Linked DNA regions of Styela clava. The protein of the gene in region 1 interacts with the protein of each later gene in a pairwise test. Links are inferred from orthologs where the notes say so. Each region holds a gene or a part of one and is shown on either strand. Other genes may lie near its edges.

Evidence for each region.
Region 2: the proteins of 26S proteasome non-ATPase regulatory subunit 5-like (region 1) and 26S proteasome regulatory subunit 7 interact in binary tests that used the Homo sapiens proteins (3 or more experiments, as listed by UniProt). The link is inferred for Styela clava from reciprocal best matches to the Homo sapiens genes PSMD5 and PSMC2.

Annotation. Positions count from the first base shown.
Region 1 is NC_135263.1:5,458,087-5,465,778, forward strand, and holds 26S proteasome non-ATPase regulatory subunit 5-like, read left to right. Parts: upstream 1-4,677; 5' UTR 4,678-4,685; coding exon 4,686-6,200; 3' UTR 6,201-7,170; downstream 7,171-7,692. Other genes in the region: NADPH-dependent 3-demethoxyubiquinone 3-hydroxylase, mitochondrial-like, read left to right, coding at 7,221-7,692. UniProt on the Homo sapiens protein: Acts as a chaperone during the assembly of the 26S proteasome, specifically of the base subcomplex of the PA700/19S regulatory complex (RC).
Region 2 is NC_135261.1:463,913-472,170, reverse strand, and holds the start of 26S proteasome regulatory subunit 7, read right to left. Parts: upstream 3,001-8,258; 5' UTR 2,931-3,000; coding exon 1,626-2,930; 3' UTR 1-1,625.

The DNA.
Region 1 (7,692 bases):
GGAGGTAACGATACGACCATTTACGGTCATCTTTTTTTTATTGAACTCTTATTTATAAAAAGCTATTTACACTATGTACAAAACGTACCGTAATCTGATTAGAACGAAAATAAATTTGAGTTAGTCTGATCGGGATTAAGAATTTATCCCAAAAGTGACATATTTATAACCGTACTATAATTTATTTTTTCTCAATAAAGTTTATTGAATAAAAAGAAAAATACCTTTCCGAGATTTGAACATAAACGTGATTAAGCCTTCAAATGAGAATCAATCAACTCTATACTGCTTTACGAAAATAATCCTACAACAGTCAGATAGAACAGATATCAGGATATAGAATATAAAGTATAAACTATAAAGTTACCTGTATACCGGTTCCAATTAAAGCAGATATGAATTATTTACCAACTTTCGACAAAGATGGGACAAACTAATTTTCGATAATAATTCTATTCTTGCAATAATTTATCGAGCGCACCAAGCGTGAACTTTGGTGATAGGAGTATCAAAAATTGCCAAATCTGTCCATCTATTTCACTATTGCGAATTAAAAATATTTATCACCCTCACAGTGAATTTTTAAAATTTTGGACTTTTATAATGTGCTTGCAGACTTAATTAATCATTGTCGAGATTCAGAGGGCTGGAGGGGTTCGCACGAAGCACACTGGACTCTTTATTGACTAATAAGATATTTTATTCTGAACTAATACCCCTATTTCTGTATTTTGTATATAAGTTTAATAAATTTAGTGATCTTTGCAACTACATTTTAAGTTGGTCTACTTATGGAAAGCTGCCGGGTCTAGGGCCATTATTTGGAATAAAGTATCTGAATATGGCGGTATGTTATCTTTTAAGAAAAAATTGATCTGGAAATGGATCATATTATGGTTTTTCCGCAGTGGCAATGATCAAACATTCTGATATTGTGTTGATGATGAAACTTTTGAGTGTGGCATGGGTCGTACAAGTGTTTTAAATTGCAAAATTGATGTTGTGTTTCAGCAGGTTTACTGTTTACAGACCATTGGCCTCACAGACATCTCATCCCTGTGATTTTTTCAGTCATATCGACGCATGAAATCCAAACTGGGCTAAGTCCATTTTTCTAGTTTTGAGAAAAACGCAAAAAACGTTTTTTTTTTGTTTCTTTTTTTTATTTCTCTAATACCTTACATCGAGGATGTCTAGTTTTTATGGTCCACCAAAGTTACAATGAAGGCCATATTTGAGTGGTATAAAAAAATTTGTGTTGCCCCCCAAATTTTTTTGGGGGGGAGTTTTTTGGACCTGGGCCATTTTTTGCTCTCGATTTTCTGAACCAGAATTTTTTTATTGGACTTAGGGCCCCTTTATTATGCTATTATAAAGGCAACTTGTCATTGATAAACGTCAATAATTCCCTTTTACAATGTTTTTGACACTTTTTGTGAGCTTATCTCCACGTTAGAAAATATTTCTGCTCCTGAATCTTGCTGACAATAGTTATCTAGCATCCAATTTTTATCAGACTGCTATTGCTACTGATTACTGCATTTTTTATATTATATTCCTTCTCATAACCATTGCCAACTAAATTACTAAACAAAGTTAAGAAAGAAACTGTTGTAAATTCTCAATCAGGAATGGTCAAGAAAAATAAAAAAAAATTAAATCAAGCCCAATATGTAAAACTGTTTTAAATTATTTTAATTTTACAAAAGTTTGAGCTAGTGTTTCTGCTCATGAAATCTAACTTTCATCAATTACTGGAAGCAATTCGTAGAATGCCTTGTGGTTTGTAGGGATTAAATTCTTATTACATAATGTTGTCAAACTCTTGTATTTCTCCCTGCTGACTCTTTTATATTCTGTCTTTTTTGTGTTGCTGGTCTTGCTGACTTTAGAACCAAAGAGTTCTAAAAGAGCTCCTCACCGAATGGGCTGTGTCATTCTCATTTTGAGAATGACCTGTAATTAGAAAATTAAGTGTTATTTCATCGAAATGCAGCTCCTCTATAGCATAGAGTAACATCACAATCATAGCTCTGTTATTATTTTGTCCACTGCAGCGGTCACAGAAAAGTTGCACAGTCTTCACTGCTGTGGTGAGAGAGGACAGGTATCAAAACACTGCAGTCGCTATTTTACAAGAGCTTTTTCACCCTTATACTTCATTCCAAAGATAGCAACTCTTGTGCATGGACTGAATGTCAGTTACTGTAAAGTTGAAATTTTTCAGCATTTGTGTGTAGTAAAAGGAGGACACTTGTCCACAAAGACAAAGAAGAGTTTTCTGAAGGTCAAAAGCTGCCACATGAAGTGAAGAATCTGTTGTGGTTTTTTCTTTCATTTCCCTCTTCATTGAACGCACCATGTCCTTTTCTTGGATATGCTTAGTTTGATTTTCGAAATCTTCGTCAGTCAATAGAGATTTTTGCATTTTTTGAAAGCTGAAAGCATTGATCACACACATCTATTTTAGGTCGGTGAAATTTAAGATTGAATTTTTCATTGGATATGCGTAAATAAAAATCATATGATTCAACTGCAGAGCTATTTTCTTCGCACCAAATCTCATATATTTCATACATTTGTCGTACAGTCAGATACTCATGAAGATATTCCCACTGACTGTCTTTTCTCAAATAATGTGATTCAACAACTGGAAACAATTTTATATGAGTTATAAATGGCTCCTGCCTTTCCCTGGTGACTTTGTTGTGGTCACCATATCTTCCTCACATATCTTTCTCCAGTGAACCAGTGATGTTTCCACCCTTTTCTTGCTTATATTCGGGGGAATCTAAAAAAAGTTATTACACACTTGCACCAACTCGTTGCTTTCTGGATTTAAAAAAGTGTAGACTCTGTTGACTTCCTGATTACGTTTTTGATCAGTCTTAGTATCTTTTCTCGGACTGCATCTCATTTTTTGTATGTACTGAGACAATCATATTCTGGTTAGATTTCTTATCAGATGGGATATCGTAACTGAGTAAAGTCTTCTGGCTGGTTCACACTTTGCTTGGCTTTGCTTGAAAGATATATTTCCGACTCGAAAATTCCATAATTATGTAAATTTTAATAATTTAAAAACAGCAGTTGGAAAGTGGTTATGGCAATGAATAATAACTTTCTCATTCCCTCTACTGTAAACATAAAAAACAGCTAACACTGAGCTATGACTGAGAGCTGGTATGGACTTAGCGCTTTCTATTATATTTAACTCAAATTTTTGGGAGGAGCTATGTCCAAAAAACGGACTTAGCACCGACTTACAATGCAGTTATCCAGAGCTAAGTCCACTATAGCAGACACAGCTCTGTTTAGTTCTCAAATGCCCTAAAAAAAGCAGGGTTATGTCCATAGCTATCTTGAGATCTAGAGCACCTAGAGATAAGGCAAATAGACCAAAATGTAGAGCTAAGTCCAGGAAAATCAGCAGTTGGAAAATGTCGTTTTTGGGAAAAGTGGACTTAGCACTGTTTGGTTTTGATGCGTCGATATGATGGTATGAGACTATTTAATTTATGACTTCAATAATCTGTGACACCTATGTAACCCTAACTACAGAACTATGCACAAATGTTCTATAAATCCTTATGTATTTATATAATAATACATATGAACAAAACTCAAAGTGAATGTGGAATAACTGAAATAAAGTCATAACATTGCAAAACATAGTGAATAGCTCAAAACAGAGGGCAGAGGGAAACAGCAAATACCTGTTACCAGTTTTGCACAGTTTCCCTTTGTTTCCCCCTTTTTCCGCAAATAGTAAGACCCAATATGAAACAAGTTTGCATATACCCATATAATCAGTCCCATATTTATTCGTACCATGTTTATTCATAATATTGTGGCATTATATACTTTAATACTTTTTCATTGCTTTTCTCTATACTAGTATAGTAAGGTTTAAAATAGGAATCCAGTCAGAATGTCTTCTTGTGGGACTTCAACTGGCAATATTGCAAAGGAGGGAGAAGAAAAATTTGGCTACTGGAAACAATTAGTTGAAACTGGATTCGGAGGTCTTCAAAACTGGCCAAAAATGCGTCCACTGGAAAATGATTGGCAACGTCCTGGTTTAGCTTATGATAAGTGTGACATCGAAGTCATGGCTATGGAAATTTGTCGTCTGCACAATGCAGATAATCATAGACGTGTCCAGCAAGTGTGTGCGAAAGAACTTACAGACTTGATGGAATGCACATATCCTCTTAATCGATGTAAAAATGAAAAAAAGCTTATCAAAGCCAGTGCATTAGCTTTTGATCCTATACCTTCATTGCAAGCTGGATTTAATTGGAAATATTAAATTTTGAACTATTGATTCAGAGTTTCATCTAGGACTGGTCATTTATCATTAATTTTTGATTTTGCTTTAGTGTTCATATTTGATCTTTTTGAAATATAGGAGACTGTTGTAGTGTGTTTATATACCCTTGGCACGACATTTCAGATATGAATAAATATTCCTTCATTCACTTTGTAATAGTTTTTTTTGGGGTATCGTATCATATTGAGTTTATATTATAGACCTAGCTGGATTTTCATTCAGCATAGAGTAAACTCTGAACATTTTTGTAGATATATATCAGTCCTACGATTTGTCTGATTATTTTTTTTAAATTATTCTGGTTCCGATCACATTATAATATCCTTAAGTGTGTTTATCTCTAGATTTTATAATGGAAACAGTTAAATCATTATTCGAAAGACTTCAATATGATGAAAATCGTCTTGCTGCCCTTTTGGACGGAAAAACTTACTTAGTAAACGTTAAGCCCACTACTTTGAAGGGAATAATAACAGCTCCGGATATTGCTTTACTTTTTGCTTGTTTCGATACGCAAAATGTAGAACAAATTTCAGCTGTTATCTTCATATTGAAGCTATTATTGCCAATAGTTGATGTTGGGGCAAAATTGGAAGTTTTATCTCAGCATTTATGGAATGGTTTGAATCATTCCAACAGCTCCGTCCAACATTTATGTCTCGGTGAGCTTCGGGAATGCTGCGTAACAGATATAGGCAACCGTGCGTTAATGGAAGGCAAAAATGTCATTGCAAAAGTAATAGAACTCATTGGGGATGATGACATGTCAATAGCTCATTCTGCAGTCCAGTTTCTTTCTGATTTTGCGTCATATTCTATCAATGCAGCAAAATTTCTTCTTCAAGGAGAATTGCTGGAAAAGTTTCAGGCAGTGATGAGAAAGAATGATAACGTTCGTTACAGAGGATATGATGTTATTGTGAAAATTCAATCTAAATCTATTGAACATTTATCTGTTTGTGATTCTTCTGGTTTGCTTCGCAATCTTGTTAATGAGCTGATGGGAGATGATGTATTAATTAAAGTTGTCTGCGTGTCAACTTTGTCTGAAATGGCACTCAGGAAACACAGTTTGCAATACTTGAATAAGAATGGAGTTGTCAACAAATTGATATCAATGATTACAAATGTTGCCTCTGATCCATTGGCCGATTTATATATGCCAGAAATTGTGAAGTTTTTTGGAAAAATGTCGTATCAAGAAGGACCACAGCATGTTATACAAATTTTTCCACAATTTTTGGACACCTTGTTTTCACTTGTTGATGAATTTGATTTGGTGAAGAAAAAAATTGGAATTGAAACTTTGGGATTCATTGGACAAAGCATGGAGGGCAAAAATGTTCTTGCAAAGGAGGGAAACCGCACCAAAGCGGCAATTACTGAAATTGGAAAGATTATATGCACAGAGGGAAGCGATTTGAGACTGATATCTATAAATGCAATGTGCCAGTTATTGGATATAGCTCCCTTGGATCAGACTGAAGATATTGTAGCTTTATTGGCACAATGGTTTCGTTGCATCTCATCATCTCCCATTGATGCAATTTTGTTTTTATGTCGCCAGCCTTTCACAAGTGTAAAATGTGCCGGATTTCATTTGATAAAAACTATAGCGAAATTAGAGTTTGGAATGGCTGCTATGGTTGAGTTCCCCACTTTTGTGGAATTCATCCTCGATCGATCGTCTGATAATAATAAAGAATCTAAAGATGCAAGATTTGAAGCAGTAAAAGCAATTGCAGAATCTCCCCAATGCATGCATATCTTTGGCAACAATAATTATTTAAAGTTTCGTTCTTATGTTCTTGAAGGACCATTATATGAAGAGATGGTCAGTCCTGAGGTCGCAATGGAAACATCTTAAAAAATATGCTCAGTACTAGCTTGAGCTTTAAGTACACCTCGCCCTTACGATAAGGAGCTAAAGTGAACTATAATTGAGATTGAGATAATTGAGCCCATCTGAAACATTATTTTTGTGATAATTCTGTGTTTGCTTTTACGTTTAATGACCGCCTGCTATAACACCTAATGTAGTAACATTAATAATACCTTGTTATAAGGTGTTTGCTCACTTAAACTCAAAACGGGATTCGTTGCAAATTGCAAGCAGCAATTGAATGCACTGATTGTCGTGTTTCGAAAGATCAAAAATTTTATGAATCAGCATATCTGAAATGGTGACCACAGACTGCATATTTTTCATAAACTTGCTGGGAACCTGACAACTTGCAATGCTAAATCAAATATGACAGCAGGATCTATGTCATGACACTTTGGACAATAAAATATATGTTTGAAGTTTGGACATACCATGCATTATTTAATGATGGGTGATCAGTCTTATAGAAATATTGCAAATTTTGTATAAATTTTTTCGAATGTATTATCGAACACAAAGTTGATTTGAAAGTTATGTTTGGGACCAAAATTTATTTTCTTCCTATCTGCTGGATCACTCAATTTCAAATATTCGCAGTTGAAAACGAAAGTTTCTTCTTCAAAAATATCTCTTTCAATTTTGTCATATTTACTCTAGGCATTTTTTGATTTAATATGAACAGGTTTTAAAAAAAATGATGCCATGTGGCTGTGTCTTTATATTTGAACATTGCTATTTGGCCATATTTTCAAAGCTATTTATTCTGATCTTTGCGCTATATTCCAAAAGATTTTGCGGTATAATTTGCTCAAGTCGCATATAATAAAATCATCATTATTTAAGTTGCTAATACACTGCGTTTTAATGCTGCCTTTAGTGTCATAATACAGAGAATGTCTTTTGTAGCAATACGTAATCTACCGTAACTTTTATTTTAACTTTCATTTTAGAACTCCTGTTTATATCTAATGTCACATTGAATGGTTTAAATTTTCATCAGTCATGCTTCTAATAATAAATCGTGGTTGTTTAACCAAATACTGTTCCATACTGAGGAGTAGTTCGTTTTGTACCTCTTCATGCACTCGTCAAGTTAAGGATGCACAAACCAAAGCTATGTATGATAGAATGATCAGAGTCGATCATGCAGGGGAACTTGGTGCCAATCGAATATATGCTGGACAGCTGGCTATTTTACGTAAAACTGATGTCGGCCCAATCATTGAAGAAATGTGGGAACAAGAAAAAGTTCATTTAGCAAAATTTAATGAACTTATACCTAAGCATAGAGTGCGTCCCACTGTATTAACTCCAGTATGGAATGTTGCAGGATGGGTACTAGGTGCTGGAACTGCCCTTATGGGGAAAGAAGCTGCAATGGCTTGCACTGTAGCTGTTGAAGAAACTATTACGGAACATTATAATGATCAACTTCGAGAACTTTTAGCAAGAGAAGATTCCTCCGAGCATGAGG
Region 2 (8,258 bases), on another chromosome or scaffold:
TACAAAACAAAGCATCAAATAGGTGACCAAATGGATTCATACAAATACATATTGATTTAACATGGCCCGTGCTCAAGTTCATACACCAATAGGTCTTGCACAGAAAATGAAAAATTTCCAGGATTGTCATAAATGAAACATATAAATTAGTGGTTGTTCCCAAAGTTGATTGACAGGAGGCCAAAATTAGAAGCGGAAGGATATTGTGGGCCTGGAAAGAGCAAGTGTGAGACATTTATGTAATCCCAATACCAGTATGTACAACCAAGATACCAATATAATTGAATTATTACAAATATACACAAACACAAGCTCAAACTGCGATATTTAAAACGCAAAAGGATAAAAACGTAAAGTGTGGAACTATTTTACTCAAGTTCAGCGGGCCATGTTAAATTGTTATGCTGGCCGTAATTAGCCCACGGATTTGGGAACCACTGATATAAATGCACAAATTGCAAGAAGTAAAAACAAGATCCTTCATCTTTTAAATACCAAATAATAACAGAAATGAAAATGAAATTCCAGGGCCTATAGATATTAGCATGTCACTGTTGTTAAACTTGGCGCAAGTGGAACATTAAAAGTAAATTGAGGGCTTCAGCCTTCAATCCAAACAGATGAAACTTGAAAAATATGTTTTTAGGAAATAAGGAAACACAAATTTTTGACTTTCAATTGAACTATCCAAACTTTTTATTGAAATAATTTGATGGATATTGTTTCAAACTTTGAGAAATAGAGAAATCCACTAAATCAAACTGTTACACAGGCCTTGTAAGAAATTCATCAATAGTTCAGATGCAGAATATCATCACTGATGTGAAAATAATATTAACATTACCAGCCAAATCTAAAACATGCTCATTTCAAATAACTGTCCAAAATAGCAAACCAAACGTAACAAATGTGAATCCAAACATTCCTACTTATGAAACACAGCCCTCAATACCAACATAATCTTGCAATTCCACGAATAATATTGACATTAATGAATAATAACGACAATATCTAGTAGACTAAAAGGGTACTTTTTCTGACCAGACAGGCTGAGCAGTTGGATGGGGGCCACATTGCCAGACTCAAAACTGATTTTACATTTTCTTCTACTAGAAAACAACCCATTTTCCATCTGTTTTACCATACCGAGATTTGGGATCAAAATAATACTACAAATACCACTGGAATAATAAACAGGGGGCCATGATCCTCTGGGAAGAGGCCACAAGCCATAAAAGTTTGGGAACCACTGTTCTAAACATTTCCATATACAGCCCTACACAACAATACAATCAAGCCCATCCCATAGGCAACAAATGATATTGCCATAAATAGATAGACTAAGAGAGTGTTAACAGCAATATCACACTTCCAGAAGGTAAAAATACCTGTGACCTAGATAGTTAATTAACCTTACATTACTATCCTGATATGACTGGAATAATAATTTTTTTTAAAAAAACCTAAATGGACAATGTCAATATAACTTGCAAATTGTAAGTTTTCAGTTCTATAATTATATCCATTAATATTATTGCCAACGTCAATTTGATGTGAATTTTTTGAAAACATTTTTTTTGTATAATTCCAATATAGTCAACAATCCATATAACATAATTCCACAGTTAGTTATAGGTCATATATCTTGGTGTTGAGCTGAACTTTGCGTATGACTTGATCACTTTGTTGACAGCTTCCAGAAAATCTTTTTCCGTTGCAACTTTTCTTCGAGCACGAATAGCGTACATTCCAGCCTCAGTGCAAACGCTGCGAATTTCAGCGCCAGTGCTGTTTGGGCACAAACGAGCCAAAAGCTCGTATCGAATGTCACGCTCGACACTCATACTCCGTGCATGGATTTTAAAAATGTGGGTTCTGCCTTCAAGATCTGGCAACCCAAATTCTACTTTTCTGTCCATTCTACCTGGACGCATCAGCGCTGGGTCTAAAGTGTCAGGCCGATTCGTTGCCATTAGTACCTTGATATTTCCACGCGGGTCAAATCCATCCAATTGGTTGATGAGCTCCAACATTGTACGTTGAACTTCATTATCCCCGCCAGCTCCGTCGTCGAATCTAGCGCCACCTATGGCATCAATTTCATCAAAGAAAATTAAACATGCTTTCTTAGTACGAGCCATTTCAAATAATTCACGAACCATTCTGGCTCCTTCCCCGACATACTTCTGTACCAACTCGGAACCAATAACACGAATAAAACAGGCATCCGTACGATTAGCAACTGCTCTCGCGCAGAGCGTTTTCCCTGTTCCTGGGGGTCCAAAAAGAAGAACCCCCTTTGGAGGATCTATTCCAAGTGTAACGAAACGTTCAGGGTGCAACAAGGGAGTTTCCACTACTTCACGTAACTTCTGAATTTGCTCTTTGCAGCCTCCGACATCCGAATATGTTACATCTGGTTTTTCTTCAACCTGCATCATGGTAACAGTGGGGTCTATTTTAGGGGGTAACGGGATATGAATTTGGTATTTATTTCTATCTACCCCCACTCTCATGCCTTCTTCTATATCGGTTGGAGCGACTTGATCTCCAAGGTCTACGACGAACTTCGCAAATTGCTTCACATTGATGATATACTTGGCGTTATCTGTGTCAGCATCAATAATTTTCGTACATCGGGCTACTTGCAATGGTTGTTCACTATGCAACGTTTGTTTATCCGCGGCAAGATCCCACAAAGCCGGTGGGGCGAGTCCAGTATCCGATTCTTTAATTCCTGTGAGCTCATTAACACGTTTCGTAATCGCTATGATGTCATCTTCAACTTGTTTGATTTGCTTCGCATACGGACCCTGTCCGTACGTCTTCAGGAGTGCGATATCTCCTTCATCCAGAGCTTGGATCGGTTTCTCGTCCTTATTTTCATCGTCACGGACTCTGCGTTGGTCATCTCCCAAATAGTCTGGCATTTTTATTGTTATTTACTTTACTTTATAAATTATTATAACACTAGCAAAATTGAACTGTTATTGAAAAAACACATACAGACTTACCGGTATATAATTATTATTATACATTATTCGCTATTTGATTAATTTTTTTAATCTGTGAATGAATCATTTTACCATCTCTACACGTTTGGCAGTCATCCGGTGCAGTTGCATTTTTCAGCGGTGCAGAAGGACTGAAATGAACCAGCACCGAAGAAATATCAACATGTAAATACTGAAATATTGGGAAAAATACTACAAAAAAGCGCAATTTAGTAAAATCATCGTTGAATTTCAATCCGATTTACCGAAGGAGAAAAAATTTTACCGGAGCATTCGAGAGTTTTTAGCAGAAAACGGCAATTTTGGTCATGTGACTGCCACGATTAATTTAGATTATTATTGAGACAAGCATGGTGTGATATGACGCATCTGACGTGGCCCCAGACACCCCTCGTTTGTGAGACACATAGAGTGTTTGGTTTATTGAGCCAATTGGAGGGAAATTCTTGAAATTTGGATAGGGTGCTGTACTGTGCTAGAAATTCTACTTGAATACTAAATGAGAATTCAACTATATATGCGTAAATAGTTTTTAATGTAAATTGATATGACCATAACAATGCTCAACGTTTTTGAACATTCATTTGATGGCATATTTTTGTTTTGTTCTCTCTTTGTGTATACTGTTTTAACAATGCTGGCCACGTCAATATATCAATTAGGCTACAGACCTGTTCACGTGTGATTAGTGTTTTTCCTGAAAATTGTTTTTATTAGCGTTCGTACACCGAGTTTACCGTCATAGTTTAGAGTTTGCTTGATCTTATACCACTTCATCACCTTTTTCAGCAATGCCCGATCTAGCAATCAGGCAAATAGCAGTGTAGTTTTTCATGGCTCGGTTTTTCTTAGCTTCAATGACTATTGTTGTCAGTTTATTACATTGCACTCCCCACATTATCTTTATATCAGATTGTATTGGTTATATCAATGTAAGTGTTAAAAGTACAACAGCCCGAAAGTTAAATACTATTTCGTATTTGGGGTCTCGTGTAGTTTCGTATCTAACATACTTCTAGTGGGCGTAGCATCACAATTTTCTGACATATCAATCCTAACCCCCACCTGACTATGCCATCCAAATATTACTTCACTGCGACATCACAATCACGTCATAGAGCTTGACAAATATACGTACGATCGCCTGAAATGGCATCGGTGCCGGCGATAAAGAACTTACTAACGTTAGTGATCTCTCTCATATTGGGATCGTCGAGATGAAAAAACGAGAGAAGTAGCCATTCGATTTCAGGTGTGCAGACAAGCGCGTTTTGGATGACGGTTCGTATAGTTTGAAGGGCTCTATTACGCCACTGTGACGTCAGAGAGACATAATTTTTGGATGGCATGGTCAGGTGGGGGTTAGGATTGACACGTGCAAATATTGTTACTATACGCCCACCAAAAGTATGTTAGGTACGAAACTACATAAGACTCCATATTTTGTTTGTTCAATTCTGGCCCACGCCTCATTTAATTTGGTTTGTGTGTGTGCTGAGGGGCATGATATTTATCATGTCTTAAACTATTTTGTATGCTCTCCGGAATCCTCCATTTTTAATCTGTGTGTGTTATGGAGTTTTCAAAATAAACTACTGTATCTATCTAGGGTTACCATATTTTTTTGACTTCAAAGCGGGACTCCTCCTGTAACTTTACATTTTCCGATTCACTACATAGGCCTACATTTATTCTTCATTGACCATATTGTCATCAGCAGTGTTCACTATTAGCGCACTTTTTTGCGAAAATTGCGAAGCACTTTCGCAACTTTTTTTAGGGACTGCGAAATAGCACTTTTTTCCGATTTTGAAGAGAAATAGCACTTTTTTCCGATTTTGAATAGAATAAAAATTCAAAGTTAACAAATATTTTCGAGTATTAAGTTGACAAATAAGTAACATACTAGTACTTTTGTAACTCAATTCTGCATATCATAACGATATTTACCGGAATTCTAACCTATGAGATGCAGACATAGGAGATGAAGCTTTTGCATTAACGGCAAAATTCTTGTTTATAATATGATTATTATACAAGCACACGGATTCCGCTTCTCCCGCAAAAAACGCTCTCGGGGCGTTTCTTTGAACTAGAGTGGTCATGTGACTATCAATGATATCGATGAATTCAAAATGACTATAAAAAGTGTTAGTAAGGTGTTATAGTCACTTTGGATGAATTGTGACCAAACTGCACGATTTTCAAATCAGACTTAACTTTTAGCAGCATTTCACAGATTTGCAAAATCAACAAATTCACAAAATACCATTAAGTGCCATTTTATTGTAATCACAATGTTGAAAGGACGTGGCATTTTCCGGAATTTTGCGATATTTACACAACTATTTCTCATTGATATGCGAGGAGGGGTGGGCAAAATTCAATATTTTTTTTCAAATCGAATATTTTTAAGGAATACCGAATAAACGTGGTGGAAACATTAAAAAATCGGCAACAAAGCCTTTTTACTGGTTAATTCCGTTGTAATCGCTAATTGTTCTTGTCACCGATCGTTTTGGCGGCGATATCCAGGTTTTGGGTAATCTATATTCCCGCCCTCTGTTTTTTACAAATATGAATTCTTGTGGGTCGGCGGACATCGAAGTTTTATATTTCGGGTTTACCCGTTCGTTCACATCGGCAACAGCTGTTGAAGACATTGAGGACTCAAATTAACATTTGCGCTGGCTTTAATATTACCTATCAAGATTTGTAAATTTACCGTCCCAATTTTATGTGAATGGTAATATTATTGTCCATACCGTGATGCAGATATTTATTAAGACGATAATTAACTTTCTCGTGTATTTCTATGGTGATAAACTTCGCAAATCTGAAATTGTGCCAATCCTGAATGTTGATTTGAAATAGTGATTGAATAATTCGGCTATAAAGGCATTTCTGCGTGGTCGTAAGACGAGATGACGTTAATGAACAGCACTTCTTTTGCAGGATATTTTAGGTATGCGACTTAATGCTAAAAAGATTGGGCTCGAGTGCTTTTTTTTTCGAGTGCTCGAGTGCCTAATAGAGGTCAGGCGCTAATTGTAACTAATTCCGTCAAGTTTCAACGTGTTTTCAACCAAACAATACCCCGGCGATAATTATAGCTAAAATGTTACCGAGCAATTCACAATTTTATTTATGGAATTTGCAAATTCACCAGTTTCTTGACGATTTTGATATTGTCACGCCCTAATTATTAGTGCAAAAAATACTCCACTTCTTCCGCGGCGGTTTGACGGGTTCTTTGTTCCATTCTTCAGAAAGTTCTGACACGGGGATATAGAATACTGAATCCGGAGGGTTGAATCCCTGTCCACTTACTGGTGATTTTCCGTTTTGAAATGCGTGAAACATTCTCTATTTTAAATTAAATGACGTTTCGCGGGCTAGAGTTCTCCCCGAAAATGATGTGTTCCAGACGTTAGTTAGACGATAGATAGAACATTAAATTAATAATTTTCGTGACGCCTCGTTTTCGAAAATACAAAGTTATATCGCAAAAAATGCGTTATGATACATTTGGAATGAAACATTATTTACGGTGAATTCAGATCACATTTTACTCTCCATGACACCCGGTATCCGAAAATACAGTTGTATCTTGAAAAATGTGTTTTGTTACATTTAAAATAAAACATTTTTGCGATTAATTTAGATCATATTTTGCTTTTCACGACACCCGTTTCCGAAAATAAAAGGTTATATCGCGAAAATGTGTTTTGTTACATTTAAAATAAAACATTTTTGCGATTAATTTAGATCCTATTTTACTTTTCAGGACACCCGTTTTCGATAATAAAAGGTTATATCGCAAAATGTGTTTTGTTACATTTAAAATAAAACATTTTTGCAATTAATTTAGATCAAATTTTACCTTTCATTAATAATAATTTTCAACAAAACAATACCCCGACGGTCATTAAAGCTGAATTCGTTACCGAATAATTCGCAATTTTATTTACGGAATTTGCAATTTCAAGATCTCACTTGACGATTTTGATGATGTCATGCCCTAATTATTACTGCCTAAATGCCTCAAAATACAACAAATGTAATCATTTTCGACGATAACAGGCGCAACAATTCGTAAACGAGCCGTTATAACGAAATTCGCGATTGATTTTACCTCTCTCTTGTTTACAATTTTCAACATCCCGCCGGCCACGTATGGTCGAATAAAATGTTCACATATTCGAAACATGACTTGGCCAAGGATGGAAGGGATCACTAAAGAGCTAATAGAAAGTACATACGCGAGGGTATGATATTAATATCGAGAATATTTGTGAGCATATCACAGGACGGAAATATTTTGCACCCTGCTGTTTGTTGGCAGAACAACGATACGCTAAAGTTAATTGATCGAATACAGGGAAGTATTTATTTATCATCTCACTTGCGAACATCGAGGTTTTGGCGGAATTGTACGATCATGTTGTCTTCCTTAAATAATAACTTTTTCAATAAATGTTCATTTTACTTTTGCGTCTTTATTATATGTCTGGTTTTCATTTATTTTAAATTCGAAATTGTCCGAAATACTCCAACAGGTGTATAGGTACAATAATAATAGTACTTACCAGGGAAGTTTAATACACACGATGTGTAAAGGGCGTCGTAACTCCCGTTTATTAATTATAATTTTTTTTACATTCTGCTTAAAAAACAACGGCAGTCATCTCACGTAACTCTCGCGACCAAATCTTTTTTGTTTTGTATGGCATCGTCTTGGCGACGAATTTATTGCCGACTGAATTTTAATTGTGTTTTAGGTTAGTTATTTTCTGTTTGTTGGTTTCTAAACTTTACAAATTTGGGTAGCAATTACTATTAATGTGAGATTTGTGCATATGAACGATTGAATATCGCGACTGGATGTCCGATATCTGAGAATGCGTAATTCTCTTTCAACATTAATTTTCAGGATATCAGCGTTCATGTGGTCGAATAAAAATTATTTATCAAATGGATTGGTATTTCGAGACACTCTCAAAATTATTTGGGATCCATTATCATATCATTCGTTCATTTTTTATATTCATGTTTTTCTCAAGAATCATCCTCATATTATATTAAGTCTACCTTCGCAAAAGAAAACTCTTTGATGTCATTGTTCCTATTAGTGTAATTGAAATATATGGAAACCTCGCAAGTGGCGTTGTGATGCGAATATTTGATACTAGGTCAGCAGCATTACAAAGAGTGCTATTTATGAATGCTGAAAGTACATGACAT